Ovis aries: one gene and its partners. The protein of the gene in region 2 interacts with the protein of the main gene of each other region in a pairwise test. Links are inferred from orthologs where the notes say so. Each region holds a gene or a part of one and is shown on either strand. Other genes may lie near its edges.

What was found. The genes of interacting proteins can lie anywhere in the genome.
Region 1: the proteins of TRIP10 (region 2) and ARHGAP12 interact in binary tests that used the Homo sapiens proteins (3 or more experiments, as listed by UniProt). The two-hybrid records come from large-scale screens. The link is inferred for Ovis aries from reciprocal best matches to the Homo sapiens genes TRIP10 and ARHGAP12.
Region 3: the proteins of TRIP10 (region 2) and ARHGAP17 interact in binary tests that used the Homo sapiens proteins (3 or more experiments, as listed by UniProt). The link is inferred for Ovis aries from reciprocal best matches to the Homo sapiens genes TRIP10 and ARHGAP17.

Annotation. Positions count from the first base shown.
Region 1 is NC_056066.1:32,793,631-32,799,658, forward strand, and holds the start of ARHGAP12 (rho GTPase-activating protein 12), read left to right. Parts: upstream 1-2,503; 5' UTR 2,504-2,648; exon of another isoform or gene 2,649-2,653; intron 2,654-3,017; exon of another isoform or gene 3,018-6,028. UniProt on the Homo sapiens protein: GTPase activator for the Rho-type GTPases by converting them to an inactive GDP-bound state.
Region 2 is NC_056058.1:15,497,066-15,503,250, forward strand, and holds the start of TRIP10 (cdc42-interacting protein 4), read right to left. Parts: upstream 3,929-6,185; 5' UTR 3,850-3,928; coding exon 3,826-3,849; exon of another isoform or gene 3,624-3,825; intron 3,239-3,623; exon of another isoform or gene 3,127-3,238; intron 2,660-3,126; coding exon 2,544-2,659; intron 2,460-2,543; coding exon 2,403-2,459; intron 1,542-2,402; coding exon 1,394-1,541; intron 1,317-1,393; coding exon 1,254-1,316; intron 1,043-1,253; coding exon 938-1,042; intron 848-937; coding exon 719-847; intron 1-718. UniProt on the Homo sapiens protein: Required for translocation of GLUT4 to the plasma membrane in response to insulin signaling. Required to coordinate membrane tubulation with reorganization of the actin cytoskeleton during endocytosis.
Region 3 is NC_056077.1:23,204,689-23,210,774, forward strand, and holds the start of ARHGAP17 (rho GTPase-activating protein 17), read right to left. Parts: upstream 3,526-6,086; 5' UTR 3,390-3,525; coding exon 3,337-3,389; intron 1-3,336. Other genes in the region: thyroid receptor-interacting protein 11-like, read left to right, coding at 4,635-5,960. UniProt on the Homo sapiens protein: Rho GTPase-activating protein involved in the maintenance of tight junction by regulating the activity of CDC42, thereby playing a central role in apical polarity of epithelial cells.

The DNA.
Region 1 (6,028 bases), on a different chromosome or scaffold from region 2:
GATCTTCCCAGAACAGGGATCGAACCTGTGTCTCCTGCATTGGCAGGCAGATTCTTTACCATGCAGCCACCAAGGAAGCCCCAGAAATCTCAATATTAAAACACAAACTTTTTGTTGTTGTTGTTGTTAACAGCTACATAGTGGTCAAAAGTATGGTTATATCATAATTTAGTGTCTTGTTGATGGATATATTTAAGCTGTTTCAAGGATAAGAAATACCTTGTCCTTTCTCATGTGTGGAACTACATATGTGGGCTAGATCCCTAGAGGTGAAATGGGAGGCTCAGAGTATGCATACATTTGTAATTTTGATAGACACTGCCAAATTCTTCTTTCTATATATTTCAGCCAAAGCAGTGGGGCCAGATATAATTTTATGCCTTTTTCATTTCATTCAGAAACGCACAAAGTGGGTTACCTATTAAAGAATAAGGAAGAAAGGACAAATTTATTTGGCAACTTAGAGAACATTTTCATTCAAAAATACATTCAATAGAAATTTACTGTGCATCTACTGCACGCCAAGTGCTTTTAGGCTTTTGGAACTACCTACCTACACAAATCAAGACTCAAATCTCTGCCACTGTGAAGCGTACATTTTGGAACTCTGTGCTACTTCTTAAGACACAAGTTAAATGTCAATATCCTGAAAATGATCTGTTGTGATCCTGGGCACAGGCACCAGACATATGCTACCAGTGTTATTTAAAACTGACTAGAGGCAATGTTGCATATGATTTCATAGCTTTCCATCAGGTCCTTTTAAACAACACACTTGGGCGAGAGCTCTTTTTATCTGACTCCATCTGCTGTTGGTAGTGATCAGCATACTGTGGGCATTGTGTTAGCATCTGAGACTAGGTTGTGAAATAGGAAGTGGAGTTATGTGCAGATCAGCAAGTGTGTGCAAACTGTTTAGTTCTATCCGAAGCTGAAACCACGGGTGTCCAACTCAGGCTTGGGAAACACGGAAGATAAGGTTATCAGCACATGCCCATCAGGGCACAGTTTCCCTTTTGCTGTCTGTCCCTGTTTTGGTTCTATAAAGAGATCCCAGAGGTTTTATGGAAAACAGTGTCAGAAGCATACACCAGCAGTACTCTTGTCTGCCGAACAAGGGCATGCAAAATGTTACTTGTTAGAAAGTGAGGGAGACAGAAAGGCCAAGTGATGCCAAGGAAAGTGGGTGTATCGTCCAGTGGATGGTCAGAGAAAGTATGGCCTCAGGCTTGTGCATGTTTTCTTTCTTTTTCCTTTCTTGGCTGTGCTGCAGGCATGTGGGATCTTAGTTCCCCGATCAGGGATTGCTGAGTCTTAACCACTGGACCTCCAGGAAATCCTTTTCTTCCTAAAAGAAGATCTTAAAACTTTAGCTCCCCCATTAAGATTTAATTTTATAATAAGTCAGTAACCTACAGTTGTTAAAGTCTTGCCAATATCCCATTGGGTTCTTTGCAGTCACTACAGGATAACTGGGAGTTCAGTTTGTGACGGGGAAATCAGACACAACAGCATCTTCAAGCATGATGTGAAGAACACAAAAGAGCCAGTTCCAGAGACTGGCTCTTGAATCATACCCTGACCTTTTTTCTTTTGCTTGTTTTATTGAAATTTCATCTCTGCGCCGTAACAGACACAATCAACCACTGGTTAGTAACGAATGTTTTCTGCAGTCCGAATACATAGCAGTGATTTTTCTGTCCTTGAATCATAGAAAGAGGCTTTGGGCTCGTCAACATGCTCCTTTCACAGCTGAGGTCGAGAAGGGCGAAGCGACAATGGCAGAAGCCAGGTCTCTCTCCCGATTCCCAGTTCCGCAGAACTCCCGCCACAGGCTCCCCAGAGAAAGCTGTTATGCCTCCAATTTTTGGATTCCGTGCTGTCATCCTGCAAGCTGGGGTGACTTTGGGCAATGACATCGTGGCCCCCACGGGGCTTGCACATGGCAGAAGCCGCCCTGGAGCCGCCCGCCCGCCCGCGGAGTGTGCGCGCTGTTTTCGCACTCTGCCGGGTGGTCTCGGCGAAGGTCCGGGACCGGGTTGTGGACCAGGGTCTCCAGGGTTCCCTTCCGTCAGGTGAGGTCGCGAGGGGACTTTCTCCGATTTCTGGGTCCGGAAAGGCTGACCCTCGCCAGGCTGCGCTCCTACCCGGACGAGAAAGGGGACAGCCGGGCCCACGCCCCCTTCTCCCCTGGGCCCCACTCCTGCCACCCCAGGACTCGGGCCGTTTTCCTTCCGCCCTTCCCTCGTTTTCCCCACCGGCCTCTCCTCAACTTTCCCCACTTGGCGTTTAAAAGCTCCACCGCCCCCCTCCCTCGGCGAGCAGCTCGGGCGCCCGGGCGATCCTCGGCCCCTCCCCCCGCCTCTCCCCTCCTCCTCCCGGATCCACGCCGCCCGCTCCCCCGGCGCCCGCCTGGCGGTCACGTGCGCCGCGCCCCGCCCCGTCACGTGGCCCCGCCCCGCCCCGCCCCCGCGCCGGCGCGCTCCGACGTGCCCTGGAACTCACCCGCCCCGGGAGAGCCGCCTGCGGGGACGCGCCGGCCGCGGCCGCCGCTGAGTGAGCGCCCTTCAGGTTCGTCTGGGCGCCCCGCCGCCGCCGAGCCGGGCCAGGAGGGAGCCGCCCCACCCCGCGAAGCCGCCGGGCCCTCGGTGAGGTTGGTAGGGAGAGTGAGCCCGGGCGGAGGGCAGGTCGGGGCGGCGCTGCACAAAGGCGCCCGGGGCCGGGGCTGCGGGGCCGGAGGAGGCGTGTGCGGGCGCGCGGCGACGCCGGGGTGCGCGAGGTGCGGCCGGGGGCGCGGCCGGCGGGGTCCAGGCGCCGGGCCGCTGCCGGCCGCTCGGGCGACGTGGGCGACGGGGTTTTAAATGGCTGGAAGTTGCGGCTCCTCTGCCCCCCGGGTTTCCTGACTTCCTGTGAGAGGGCAGTGCCCGCCGCCCCGCCCCCAGGAAGGAGGGTGGCGGGCTGTGCGTGTGCGTGTGCGTGTGTGTGTGTGTGTGTAAAAGGCTGGCGGTGCCGCCCTCCTTTCTGGCCTCCCGCCGGCGGCGAGCCCGCTCCTCAACTGCTGCGGGAGGTGCAACCCCCGCCCGCCCAGCAGCCCCAGGAGCCGACTTGGGGCTGCTCGAAGGCTATTGATCCCCCAGACTGGGCATGGGGGCTTCTGCAGCTTCTAGAGGTGCCCCGCCCCTGCTCAGTGGGCATCTGCTTCTTTCTAGCCCTTCTGCGAGAATTCTCCTCCACCGTTTTTAATTTCAGAAAACCCTCTGCGCTCTTCTCGGGGGTGTGTGTGTGTGTATGTGTGTATTGTCTTCTAAGGATGACTGTCCTTGACGTGTGGCGTCTGAAGTTACCGCAGACCCTTTGACACGAAAAGGCCACAGGGTCATTCTCGAGGCGTGGTGATGTTTTCCTTCTGACGGCAGCCGCCGTTTTCCAGGCACTTGCGAAGGCGAGCATGTTCAAAGCGTGGCTGTATGAAAGTTCTGATGTGTCTCCAAGTGAAGTATTTGTTGTCGGGACAGGCTGGTAACATTCGTGTTGCTTTATGGTTAATTAAGACATGGGAGGTAATTAAAAAAAAGATTTGTTTACGTTATTTTGAGCAGTGCTGTGTCTTCATTTGCTGTGCGCAGGCGTTCTCTAGTTGCGGGAAGCAGGGGCAACCGTTCGTTGTGGTGAGTGGTCTTCTCATTGCTGTGGCTTCTCTTGTGTCCTCTGGGCCCTAGAGTGCGGGCTTCAGTAGTTGGGGCAGGTAGTTGTGTCTCAAGGGCTTAGCTGCTCCGCGGCCTGTAGGATCTTCTGGGACCAGATATCGAACCCGTGTCACCTGCATTGCAAGGCGGATTCTTATCCACCAGACCGCCAGAGAAGCCCCGGTGGCAGATTTTTTTGAACATTTAGGCATGTGTTCCTAACGGGAGGTGAATACGGGGAGGAAGGAGGGAACTTTGAATGAAGAGTCCACCCGGATTCTGATTAAAATTCTCCCTCTCAGCTTCTGAAGGTGAGACCTTGGAAGACTCTGAATGTTACAGTGAAGGGTGGCTCAAAAACGTCCAGCTCCTGGCCGCGGCTCTTTCATACCCAGATGCTGGGAAACGGTGGCCTGGAGGTGGATCTATAGCCAGTGCTCCTTACCTGATCCGCAGGAGGGTGCCTGACAGGGCAGGATGTCTTTTGTGTTATCTTTTGGTCGGAGTAGATGGTCTGGCTGCTGGGGCCAGTGTTTCTCTCTTTCTCTCTGTTTTAAAAAATGCCTTGGAAATGTTTCTGAGCAGAGTTTGGCTTGAACCAGTCTCTAAAGACTTGACCCTGAGTGGGGCAACTGGAAGAACCTGAGGAGCTGGGCATGTCGGCGTGACTCCTGGTTTCAGGAAGCTCTGCTGGTCTGGAAAGGGACTCTTTTGGGGAAAAATGAGTTGAATGAAGCCTGATGTACCATATTGCATGTGCATGCCCCAGTATGGGGTGGTAGGCTTCTGTTCCTACTTTATGGAGGACAGAAGTTGGAGAAGATTGCTAACGCACTGATTCTTAATGTGATGCCATCTGTATAGAGGGGTTGTCCACATACAGTCAGTATTTTATGTATCTTTAGTTTTTTTCTTTTTTTTTTACATACTACACTAGTTGTTGTGAGGCACAAGTGAGAATATATAAATACTGCAGAAAAACTGTATTATTTGTAGTCAATCATTTGGCGGTTCTTTCATTAATAAGAAAGTATCTGCTGAGTGCTTTTTTTTATTAGGTTGACAGAAAATGTGTTTTACGAATGTAAAGTACTTCAAATGATGCAGTCGACAATTCTGAGGATAAAAAAGGTAACAAACAGTATAAGTTAATTAAGACAGTGACTCTGATGCTGTGTAAAATTACTAAATGGTAGCTTCCTTGATGGCACCCCACTCCAGCACTCTTGCCTGGAAAATCCCATGGATGGAGGAGCCTGGTGGGCTGCAGTCCAGGGGTCACTAGGAGTCGGACAGGACTGAGCGACTTCACTTTCAGTTTTCACTTCATGCACTGGAGAAGGAAATGGCAACCCACTCCAGTATTCTTGCCTAGAGAATCCCAGGGACGGGGAGCCTGGGTGGGCTGCTGTCTATGGAGTCGCACAGAGTCGGACACGACTGAAGCGACTTAGCAGCAGCAGCTTTTTTGATGGCTCAGCTAGTAAAGAGTCCGCCTGCAATGTGGGAGACCTGGGTTTGATCCCTGGGTTGGGAAGATCCCCTGGAGAAGGGAACGGCTACCCACTCCAGTATTCTGGCCTGGAGAATTCCATGGACTGTATAGACCAAAGGGTTGCAAAGAGTCAGACACGACTGATCGACTTTCACACTCACACACTCATTTTTGCTTCTATGAGAAAACTGGTGCTAGGAAAAAGCAGTTTAAGGTAAATCTGCCTAAAGTGGGCATTACAGTTTTATAGTAGTGAGAAAGAAGAGTGAAATTAAACTTTTATATAGAATAGTTTTAGTTGTACTTGCAAATATGCATTGTTTCGTTGAATGAATCAAAAGTGAAAAGGCAGGATGGTACCACACAGCATCATTGTGCTTCAGAATCATGCTCTTTTGAGGAACCAGTTGGGCCGCTACCTTTGTGGTTTCTTTAATTGCTAACTGTTCTAATTGTGCCACATCCTCGTTTTTGGATGGCTTTGCAGTGATTCAGCCATTTCCTTGTTTTATTGACTTAATATTTTGCAGTTTCAGTGTACAGTTGACCAGTTTTTTAATTGAACTGAACTATCAGATCATGACCTCTCTAAGCACCCCTTGCCTTGATAGTCCAGTGCTTCTCAAATTTTAGTGTACATGGACATCACCTGAACTTCTTAAACCCCATGTAATACCAGTGCTGCCAGGACTTCAGACTACTGCTGTCGTGTGGAAATGTGATGCCAGTCACCTTGGTAATTCTCAAGTAATTTTTAGTACTCACATGATAACTGAGAAAGAGTCAAAGAAGCCGTGAGGTAAATCTTATTATCATTTTGTCTGTATGACAGCTTCAGACTCCCATG
Region 2 (6,185 bases):
GATTCCCTCCTGAGCATAATGGAGCCCCACACTGACCACAGCCCCAAGCCCAGTTTAGCAGGGAAAACACAGAATTGAACACAGAGACTTCTAGCTCAGTGTGGTCAGGGGAGAAATTTCAGAGGCCAGAGAGATGTCAGAGAGGAATCTGAGGCCCTCCCTTTGCCTAGGGAGTCAGGAAAGGCTTCTCAAAGGAGGTGAAAATGTGACCAGGAAGGGACTTCCCCGGTAGTCCAATGGCTAAGGCACTGCACTCCCAATGCAAGGGGTCCAGGTTCAATCCTTGGTCAGGTAACTAGATCCCACATGCTACAGCTAAGACAAGGTGCAGCCTAATTAATTAATTTTTTAAATATACTAAGAAAAAAACACAGCCAGGAATTTCAAGAAAAAAGCAGACCCAACACAGATACTGCCAGTCTCAGTGTTGGGATAGAGAGTAGAGTACAGAGCTGAAACAGGAGAAGAGAAATTTGAGATCTTTCAGAGGGTTTGTTACAATTGGGGCTTGGAAGAACGTAGGAATTACAAAAGGAAAGAACGACATCCTTGGCAGAAAGAACAGCTTGAATAAAATTGGAGAACACTGACTATTTGGTTCTAACTCCTTTTCAATTTAGAGATTAGGGCATTACAGGTGGGGTTTTGACAAATGTGTAGGAGTTGGTTAACTCTGGGCTTCTCTAGGGAAGGTGGGACTGGGGTTTGCAGCACTCACATCAAATATCTGGGGCATCTGGGAAAAATAGAAGTGAGACTGGTCACGGTTGAAGCGCTGTAGTTGGGCTGCATACTCATTTTTGCTTTCTTCTGCCATGTGACTCCGAAGGTGGGCTTGTTGTTTGGCCTGAGGAATATCGAGGTAGGGGAGGGTCATAGCCCAGTTCTGGCCTTGCCGAACCCTGACCCCCAAGCCTGTCTCAGACCCTATAGGCACCTTCTCCACATCAGCCTTGGTGGCGTTGATATCCTGGTCAAGCCTCTCAGCAGTCTGGGCTGCCTTCTCAGCCTCCCGGCAGTCCCGTTCAAATTTACGTTTACTCTGTGTTGGGGACAGAACCGGAATGAAGGAACCACCCGCCACAGTTTCAGGGACTGGGGGGAAGTCACCAGCAACTGGGAGTCAGGGTGGGGACAACAGGCAGCTTGGAAACCCACAGGAGAGGAGGGGTCCAGGCCAGATGAAGTGAATCGACAACCCTCACCCAGCTGCTCGGGGCCAGAGCCTCGCTTCTCCACACCCACAGACTCACATTCTCCAGCTGCTTGAAGCCACTTTCCAGCTGCTGCTGGGCCCGACGACCTTCTTGGAAGTGCTGTGGGAAGAGGGGGCGATAAGGCTCACCCTGATGTCAGGGGACCCTCGGGAAGCCCCAGAGAAGGGGTCACCCACCATCTTTCTCTCCTGTTTCATCTCCTGCGAGTACTTGGCCAGCTCCAGACATACACGCACGCTGAGGTTCTCGGCCACCAGCTCCCGCTGGCCGGCAAAATCATTCACCTCCTGCAGAATCTGCACGAAGGACTGTTGCTGGCTGAACCTGGGGTGGGGTGGAGGGGGGATAAGGGCTGGGGGTCAGGACCCCTGGGAGCCACAAGCCCCCAGACCCACCTCCATATGAAAAAGCGTGAGCCCCAAGACATTCACCCCAGAAGCAACAATAAATTCTGGCCCACACCCTCAACCCTCGAGGGGGACACAGAAACTCAGAATTCTCAAAATTTGGGGAGGTCTTAGAAAGGGGATGCGATGCTTATACCATCTTTTTGCATGACTCTCGTGGTGTCAGTAGCAGCATCATATAATCAAATACTATAAATGCTTTTGCAAGAAGTATTAGTATTCACATAAGTGAGATAAAATCCAAAAGACCCTAATGAACTTAATTAACTTCATGTCAGTTCAGGTCTTGAGATTGCCTCCAAACAAGCGACCAAAAAATCTTTTGCTTTCTAGAGCTCTGGGGGTTTCTGGAACTGGAATAAAGTGAAATGAGCCAGGCATTGTTTTAACACACTATCTTAATCTTCATATGAGCCCCTACAAGGACATCGTCATCCCCAGTTCACAGGAGAGGAAAACCAAGGCTCACAACATGAGTCACTTGCCCAGAGACACTCATTTAATAACTGTGGGAGCCTCTCCCATTTAATAGGTGAGGTAAACGGAGGCTGAGAACTGAAGTCAAGTGGCCAAAGCAGTTCAGCTGGAAAGTAGTGGATTTAGAATTCCAAGCCAGGTAATTCGGTTCCTGCATCCAAGCTCACGCCTCTAGGTGGAACTGGGGTGAGAAGTGAGGGATCTGTTTGCGGGGAGCCCAGCTTGAGAGAGAGAGGAAGTGGGTCCCATACCCTCGGCCCTCCCAAATCTAGCTCTGTATCCATCCGGTGTTCGTTCTTACTTGGATTCAGGGTCATCTTTAGCAGGTCTTTTGGGCATGTATTTTTTCACCAGGCTCCTACGGAGAGAGGCAGGAAGGCTGAGCCCCCAGTCCTCCAACCGCTCCCCCTAACCCTAGGGAGCGGCCACCCTAGGGTCTCACCGCAGTTGCTTTGCATAAGCCTGCTCCACCTCCGTCCGCTCTTTCACGAACTTCACGTATCTGTCCAACAGGTCCAGACCCCACTGCGTGTGCCGCTCGAGCACCTCAAACTGATCCTAGCAGGGGGATTGGGAGGACCAAGGTCAGGACCCAGGGACCCCACAGCCGCCAACCCAGCGGCAGGGGAGCCTCCTGGCTCCGAGCTCCAAGAAGGAGTGGCTTCCCGGCCCCGCCCCGGAGCGGCGCGGGGGGAGGCAGGAAACCGGCGGGAACCCCCTCCCCTTCCCGGGAAGGGCCAGAGAACTGGGGCGGGGCCCCAGCCGGACTACAGGGTCCCCTCTCCCGGCTCCAGGAGGGGTGTGGAATGGGACAAGGCCACTCCCCCTGCCCCGGGTCCCCTAATCCCCCCCAGATTCCGGAAAATCCGGCCGGTCTGCCGTGAGTCAGGGCCAGAGGGGCAGGGTTCCCTGCAGCTTGTGGGGGCCCCAGAATGGTCGGAGCGCGGGCATTAGGTTCCCCCGGTCGCCAGGCTTCCCAGGGTCCCCCAGGGGCGACTCAGTTTTCCTCACTGACTCCACTTTACCTCCAAAAGAAATCCCAGAGTTGGTGTAGGGGGGACGATCTAGTTAACCCAGGGCACCCAGGAACCCAGGAGTGCCACCGCCCCCAGAAAGAGGAGGCGTCAGAGGTTCCGGCTAGGAAAGGGGGAAAAAATTCTGGGGCTTCCAGGGCAGAGGTTCGAGGCGATTGGTGGCGGCCCCTCCCAGTGCCTAAGGAGAGCTGGGGGAGGGGGCTGAGGCCGAGGCTCGCAGCCCCCTCCCCCCTACAGCGTCCCAATTCCCTAATTGTAGATTAGAGGCGACGCGAGGGCGGTTTGGACTTCCAGGTCCCACGTGGGGTTGGAAGTGGCCAGAGGGCCCCCTCCCCCGCCCCAGCCGGACAGGCGGACGGCGGGCAGGGACCCAGGGGCCGTAAGATAAGCCGCCGGCCCAGTCAGGGCGCTCAAAATAGGTGACCTCTCCCGGCTGCTCAGGCCTGGTCCCAGAACTTCTTCTGCCCTCCTCACTATGAACCCCGTACCTCAGTTTCCCTACGCGGCTCCTTAAAGGTCGCCCTCCGCTCCGGGGCGTCCTGAACCGCCCTGGGAAACTCCGCGGAGAGAGGGGATTCCAGGGGTCGGTGGAAGGGAACGCGCAGAGATCCCGCTGGGGTACTGCAGGGGCAAATCGTGGGTCTGGACCCCAGGAAGGGAGGAACTTGGAGTCAAGCGGAACGGACTCACCCACAGTTCGGTGCCCCAATCCATGCTGCTCCCTCCGCGGCCGACGCCTCCACCGCACCCGGTCCCTGCCGCCCGCCGCCGCCGGGAGACTCAGCCCAGGGCCAGGAGCCCGACCCCGCCTCGCTAAGGCCCCGCCCACTCCAAGCTCTGCCACGCCCCGTACACTCTGCCACGCCCCCGCACTCTTGGAGCCCTGGCACGGCCCCCTGAAAGCAAGACCCCCCCTCCAAGGAGGCGGGGCCCAACGGACGCCCCGCCCCTTCTTAAAGGAATGCGCGCCACCCGACGCCACTGGACAGACAGACCCCTTAAAGGACCCCCATCCATTTTCCAAATCCCCTGGGACCCTTTTGTCCACCCCATTCCTGCCCCGCCCTGGACAGTTTTTCTTTTCCTCTTTCCTTTCAATCATTCATTAAAGGGCCAAGACACTAAACCCCAACCCAAGAGGTTTTCCCCCCACTCTGCCGCAGGGAGAACTGAGGTCACCCCGCTCTTGAGGGCCGGCCTGGCTCCAGACGTCTACGTTCGTCCCACTAATGGTCTGGTCCCTCCGGCCACAGGGCGGATGGGAGGACTTCGATCCTGTCCAGGACGCGCCTCCGCCAAGGCCGGGTCCATTAGCGCCCCTACCGCATCCTGCCTCCCTCCCTAAAGTCTGCGCCGGGAAACTGAGGACGGGCTGTCCTTGGGGCGCCAGGCCCAGGCCTTTCCTCAGCTCCCGTACAGTTGGAGCTTGCACCTGCCCATTTCCCAGTCTCATCCATTAAGGTGCAATCAGGTTTAATAGTTTGCACAGACCCTAGTATTCCTACTCCACCACTCCCCCGCTCCTCGAACCCTTGGGCTTGGAAGTCTGTCACCTCTCTCATAAAAGTCAGTTCACACACTGTTAATCCCTTTGAGGCACTGAGATGAAAGGGGCGAGATCCAAGCAGCAACCTCCCCCCACTCCCATCCTCTCCTGCCTTTGGTGCTTTCTCTTTGGTTACAGAGGTGACAGTCGCCCCGCTGGGGCTGAGGGCATTAGACCCCCTGGGACAAGTCAGACTCTGAGCCCCGTCTTCCAGGACACAAGAAGTCACAACACGGCTAGGAGGATAGATAGCTCCAGTAACCCACAATGGGATAGACGGCTCTGCGGGGACCTGGCCCCACCTGCTGGTGGCTTCCGAGTTAGAAAACTTCAAATTGCAAAATAGACGGGTTCCAGAGGTTAAACAGAGACGGAAACGGCAACCCACTCCAGTACTCTTGCCTGGGAAATCCCATGGACAGGGGAGCCTGGCAGGCTACAGTACATAGGGTCACAAAGAGTCGGACATTACTGAGTTACTGAGCATGCATGCCAGAGGTTAGAGGGTCAGATCAAGCCAGAAACTCAGCCTGGGGTCTGGAACTCAGCGGCTCAGCCTGGGAGTTGGAGTCTCAACTGAAATTGGGATTCATCCCAGGTGGGCACCACAACTGGGATGGAACCTGACTAGGATCGGAGGTTTAGGAGAGGGGTGAGCCACTAGTCGAAGGCCTGGGACTCAAATGAAGGACCACAGGTCTGTCTTAATCTGAGGTCAGGGCTCAGTCTTTATCTGAGATCTGTCTAGGTGTAAACTCAGCCAGAGATTAAGGCTCAGTATAGGCTGAGAGTAAAAGGGGAAGGGAGAGCTGCGTTTCAGCTGAGATCAGGACTTAGCTGCAGGTAGGCGCTCAGCCTGGTGTTGCGGTTCAGCCTGAATCAAGATTGTCCTGGGTTCTGGGGATGGGACTCCATCCAGTGGCCTCACTCCAGGATAGAAGCGTCCGCCTAAGCCTGGTAACTCAGTCTGGGATCATAGGTCATTCCAGGGTCATGATTTAGCTTGGGGCCAGGTTTTGGCCTCTCAGTGGATCAGCAAGATTAGGAAAACAAGACAGGCGGCTTCAGCAAATGCAAGTGTTTACCAAAAGCCTGAGCTTTGGCTGGGAGCCACATCCCCAGGGGGAAAGAGGGAAGTCTGTCTTTAGGGATACTGGGAGATGTAGTTTATTGTATGCCCCCATTGAGTTGTTTGCTGCCCCACCCCCTCCAACTTTGCGTTCTGGGTAATGTAGTTCTGAACGGATCTGTCAGTTAAGAGTGGGTGGAGGAACTCCTCTTCAGGGAAGGATATCGGCTCCATCACAATTGGTTGGATGAACTGTTTATCAACTTACATCCGGGACAATCTTTCTAGTGATTGGTGGGTGTGAAGGCGGGGTTAAGCAATATTAGCATTCCCATTTGGGACTGGTGCTGTCCATTTGGTGTCTTACAGGGGGCGGGCACGAGAGGAGGCAATCGGTGATTGGCTGGAAGGGCTCAAAAAGCAGAAGGGTCGGCC
Region 3 (6,086 bases), on a different chromosome or scaffold from region 2:
CAGCCCACCAGGCTCCTCATTAATACAAAAGAAATCTGAAAGTGCTTGAAGATGAAAACAAAGCCAAAAGGCTTTGCCCAAGCTTTCTTCTGTTTTCTGTTACCTTCCCCCATCCAATAAGAACCAGCATTAGCCAGCCCTCTGAAAGCACGTATCTCAGGGTAACAATTATTTCTTTGCTTGCCTATCTCTTCCACAAAAGTATTGAGCTCCTTCAGGGCAGAAACAGGGAGGCAGAAATAGACTCCAATACCTCACATACTCACACACAGTTTGGGCCCAACAATTGTTAAATAGATGAATGAACAAAAGGCAGAGAGCACAAAAGAACCATCCTCATTGTCTCCTTTGGGACACCCACCTCAGGAGACCACCTCATTTGAACCACCTTCTGAAACAGACTCATCCATCCATTACAAACAAATTGCATCATGAGAACTCACTCCTTCCAGCCATTACTAATTCTCCCACATGTCGGTCCCATGGAACCTCACTATGGGGTTACTCACAAGGTCCTCATTCTGCAAAGAGAATATTTCATCGCATGACACCACCTAGAACTACAAACTGACAGTACACACTGTGGGCAAGTCATTCACACATACAACTTCATTCTTTAGTGAGTGTGTGTGTTTTAGCCTTTGTTTTGACCCCAATACATCCAGAAGCCTGGTTCTGATATCCACTAACTAGCTGCTTCTGCCCAATAACAATTTCAGGCTCTCTCCTGCCTCCTCCATCTTTCCTCCCTAGTCCTTTACAATTACTTAAGTTGGGGGCGGGGGTGGGGGAGACAAACATATATAGGAAATCAACAACAGTAAAGCAACAGGTTCCCCAGTAAAAACTGTTTTGACTTTAGGTGCATAATTTCCACACCCTTAATACTACTGTATAGCTGCAGCCTACACTGCATCAAGCAATAAAGATTTTCAGAGCCAAAGGTCAGAGCCAGAATTACAGTCCTAGGGTGAGTCACATCACTCCACTCATTCTATCCAGTTCTCGTTTTCCCATACCACTTGAACAATCTAGTGAGAACTGGATTTACATTCATTTGACAATGTTTATTGAGGATCTGCCAAGTGATAGGAACCACAGAAGATCCTGGGAATCAAAGAAGAAAGGGTAAACATTCTTAAATGTTTAGCGTGATGAAGTAAAGAAGCAATTACATGATGGCGAAACAGGTGCTGTATGGGATTAGGAAAGAGCCAAGGAGGGACATCCAAACTTTGTCCCAGAGAAGGCCTTTTAGAGGCAGAGACCTTTCCAAGGAGACCTGAGGAACAAGTGGGAGGTGACCTAGGGCAGGTGTGGTAAAAGAGATTTCTTTGTGATAGTTCCAAGTAGAGGCTAATACGTAAGAAAAGTATAGCCTCCACTGAAAACTGAAAGTAGACAAGACGGTTAGAATTTAAAAGTATAAAAAGAGAAGCTGCGACAGAGGAAGCAGGGGCCAAAGACACCCTGAACAGTTTCCCTGAACCAACTTTGCAGCTTTTAAAGCCTCAGAACTTTGTTTAAAAAAAAAAAAATCACTTGCTTGATACAATGTATGAACAGGCCAAATGACTCTGGGACAAATGCATCTTGACACTCACTAAATATTGATTCCCTGATGCATGTTCCTGAGAACACTAAGAGGGGTAGAAAATTCACAGAATTATCTTGTAATTCATTCCCAGATTCTTGACTGAAACATGAGCCATCACCAATACTCTCTCCTGGTAGCTTAGCCATGAAGAATTCACCTGTGATGCAGGAGACTGCCTGCAATGCAGGAGACATGGAAGACTCCCCCAGAGAAGGAAATGGCACCCCACTCCAGTACCCTTGCCTGGAAAATCCCATGGACGGAGAAGCGTGGTAGGCTACAGTCCATGGGGTTGCAAAGAGTTGGACACGAATGAGCCACTTCACTTTCCAGTATTCCGGCCTGGGAAATCCCATGGACAGAGGAGCCTGGCAGGCTACAGTCCACCGTCGCAAATCCGACACGACATAGCGACTCAACCGCCACCACCACAATACATTGTCAACCTTCCTCTCCACGTTATTTCTATCATTTCCCCACAAATAACAGAAAACAAGGCACATCTAGGCTTTAGCCTAGACAGGAATTAACTCTGGAAAAAGGATAAATGCACCCCAAGCTAACAGGGTGGGGAGCCAAAAAGACCCAAACAACAAAACTAAGCAAAAAAGTTGAGGGAAACGAAACAGTAAAGAGCACATTTAGAAAACTCAAGAGGAAGTAAAAGTATTTTCATACACACACGCAAAAAAGAAGTGTGCCACGTGCTTTGGCCAAACCAAACTCCCCCTTTGACTCAACTGCTGAAAAAAAAAGAAGTCAACGCGGTGAAAAAAGATTCCCGCATTCATCTCTCTTCCCAGAATAAACAGCAAAACCGATACCATACAGCTAACTTGCCCTGGATAGACCTTGAAAAATCTGCCCCAGGTAACACAGCACATGACAGTCATCTTCAGAAGCTCTCAAGACCACAGACCAGTCCTGTCCCAATGGCCGGATCCTCTACTAACTCTGTTCTCTCCTGTCATTTCAGAATCAAGGCTTGCCAAGCAGTCAAGGAATCCCAAAGAAGCAAGGGAGCAGGAGCTGCTTCCAAACCCAAAGTGAGAAAGACTTTTAAAATGATACTTATTTTTAAACTGGGGCTAGGCGTTTCCAGAATCCTTTTCTCCTAATTACCCCCACCCCCCACCCAAGCTTTTTTAAATGTAAGCTGTGCAGTTCATATTCGCTTCTGGTCTAGAGACGGCACCACCTCGCAGCTCCCTCAAAGGGCGTTCTGAAACTCACTAGGCAGATCCGCTGGGCTTATGACCCTTGCTTCTTGACTGCTCGCCCCCACCATCCCCCGCCCCCAGACACTTGCAAGTGAGGTTTTGCAGCAGGGGGGCCACTCGGAAAGGCTGGGAATGCAGCCCCCAAGCCCGGCAGCCTCGGACACACCACTGATCCGAGTTGCAGCCCCAGGCGGCGGCCCGGGGCTGCCAGATCCCGGGGTAGGGAAAGACGAGGGGCAGTTCCAGTCCCAGGAGGGCGATGCTCCGCGGGGCAGTGGGGACCCGAGGGGTAGGAGCGGGAGGCGCGGCCCGCCCGCCCGGTCTCCGGGGGCCAGGCGGCGGCCCAGAGCGGGCCTCCAGGCCGCGGCGTGGCGCAGACCCCGACCCTGGGCCCCGCCGGCCTCGGGCGGAGCCTCAGCCTGGCCCGTAGCGGCGGGGCGCGCGGAAGAAGCCGGTCCGCCCCCGCGACCGCGACCCCCGGCCCGCGCGACCCCCGGCGGCCCGGCGCGGCGCACTCGCCTGCCCACGGTCTGGTTGGCCAGCTGCTTCATGCGGTTGAACTGCTTCTTCATGGCGGCGGCGGCGGCGGCGGCGGCCCGCGGGGCTCCGGCCGGGCAGGACGGGGGACGGCCTGGCGGCTCCTACATCGCTTCCCGGCCGAGGCGCGGCGGCGGCGGCACGGCTCCCCAGGCCTGCGGCCCCGCCCTCGCCGCGTCACTTCCAGCGGCGCCGCCCGCCGGCTCGGCCGGGTCGGGGCGGGCGAGGAGCTCCAGGCCGCAGGCGGCGCGCGGCCAGGCCTCCGCCGCCCGCCTGCCCGGGGGCCGCGTGGTCCCCACGCCTCCAGGTGGTTCCCTGGGCCCGGCGACGCGCGGCCGCCCGGGGCCCCGCGGTCCACCCGGACCTCGGCGTGCTTGTGCTTCCGCTCAGCGAATATTAATATTAAATATTAATATATAACTCACTTCCCAGACTAGATCGCAAACACGCGGTGGGCAAAGCAGACACAAAGAGCGGACACAAAAAGTCACCCTCGGGACTAGACCCCCGGGCAGGGCTCTCGGAGGTGGGGGCGGGGGGAGTGTTGCGCGAAGGGAAACGGGATAGGAGCTTTGGGACGATGGAAACGGTCCAAGTCTTTATCAGGGCCGTGCTTATGCGCGGGTGTAGACGTTTGTCAAAATACAGCAACTTGGATTCTTAAGACGGACGCGTGTCTCTATGTACATGTTACCTCGATTTTTTTTTCAAGAAAAAAAAAAATAGTTGCGTGAAACAAGCTTCAGGACTGTGTGTATGAGATGCCATTTAGTAAAAAAGTCAGAGGCAATTAAATATATTTTATTCCTATTTGAATACTATTACTGTAGTGCTGCTTCTCTTTTATTGATTTAAATCTACCTTGAATGTCACTCCATATCATAAAGAAGAGAAAAAGAGAAAAAGACAGGTGTGCTTTCTATGAACATGCGCTCACCGATGGCGCCGTCAGAGCTGCGGTGATGGTCTCCGGTCCAGGGGACCGGGGTGTTACCGGCCCTGGGAAAATCACGCAAGCAGAGAAGTGCCCGACCCTAGCGCTGGGAAGTTGTGAGGATGAGCAGACGCCCGAGCGGGGACACGTCACAGGAGATAGGTTCTTTGTCAGGTCACAGGCCATGCCTGGGGCTCCGAGGGTTCTATAGAGGGGCCTTCTCAGCCCACGTTGCCTAGAAACTCCTCATTTTTTTCTTAACCTCGAGCTGGTCAGCAGTGAGGCTGTCCGACTCCGCTGGATCCTTTTCGCAGGACAGATCAGGTCAGTTTTACGACCTGTGACAATGTCCTGGTTTGGTGGCCTTGGCTCCAGCTTAGGCCATTCCCTGGGGCAAGTGGGTGGTACTATGGCCTTTTTAACAGACTGTGTTTCTAGTTTCACAAAAGATGTGCTGAGGAAGGGAGCTGAAAAGGTAGAAGAACTCCCTGACTCTGCAAGAGAGGAGGTTGTCGACTTTCAATCAGTCTTAAAATCAGAGATTGAGAGGCTTCGAATTCTTTGTAGCGATCTAGAAGAGAAGTATGAAGCCTCAGAGCTTCAGCTGAAGCAGCAAACTGCTAGCTACAGACATCAGTTACACCAGAAAGACGTAGAAATCAGACTTCTGACAGCAAGACAGGTAGCAATGAAGGATCAGTTGCTAAAGCTGCAGTCAGTCATCCACTCAGTAAATCTTCAGGATAGCTTTCAGCCCTCAACTCCTGCACCCTCTTCACTGGGTTATGATGTCTATCAGCATGCTTTAGCTTTCCAGAATGATGATATGGACTTCGCTGATCTAATTTGGTCACAACAAGAAATAAATAGATTGTCAAATGAAGTTTTAAGACTTGAGGCTGATGTCAGCCATTGGAGACATTGTGCTCAAACTTCTACAGCACATGGAGCAGATAGTTCTAATCTAAAGGAAATCTATAAACTGCAAAATACTATCAAGGAACTTGAACAGACTCGAAATAAGGAAATTGATGACCATCAACTTGAAATGGCAGTACTGCAGGAAATTCATCAGCAGAAACTGGCAGAAATAAGTGGCAGGCATCGAAAACAATTAAAGGATTACGAGGAGATGATTCATGATATGCAAAAAGCCATTCAAGTCCTAGCCACTGAAAAAGTAGCATCTACCAAGAAAACCAAAGGACTTGAGATTAGGGTAAAATACCTTAAAAAAAAATTGTCTTCTGTAGAAAAGGAAATGGATGCTTCAGTTAGAGAACAAGACCAGATAAATGAAATGAAGAAAAGACTTAAAAAAGGTGAGTTGAAGCCTTCTACTAAGAAGCATAGTGATGCTGCGACAGAAAAGGAAAAAGTTCTTCCACAGAGAACATCCCTGGAAGAAGCTTCCAGACAACAACAGCCACTGTCTGATGCTGAAAATGAAATGATGAGATTAAGTAGTTTGAAGCAGAACGAAAATCTCATTGAAGAGAACCTGAAGCTTCAAAAACGAGCCCAAGTTTTAGAAAAAGAAAATTCATTATTAAATGGAGAAAAGGAACAACTTCAACCCTCACTTGTCAGACTGAGCAATGAATATGAACCCATTAAAAGCTCAACTATCAGACACGTGAGCTTGGATTCAGAAGTACCTCATTTAAGATAGAACTTGGAAATCAAGGAAGGAAAACTCATTGTCACTGCTGAAAAGAAATTACTGATCCCTGAGTTAGGAGAGTTGGACAGGCAGAAACAAAAAACGACAATGTGAGTGGTTTTGATGAAAGATCAG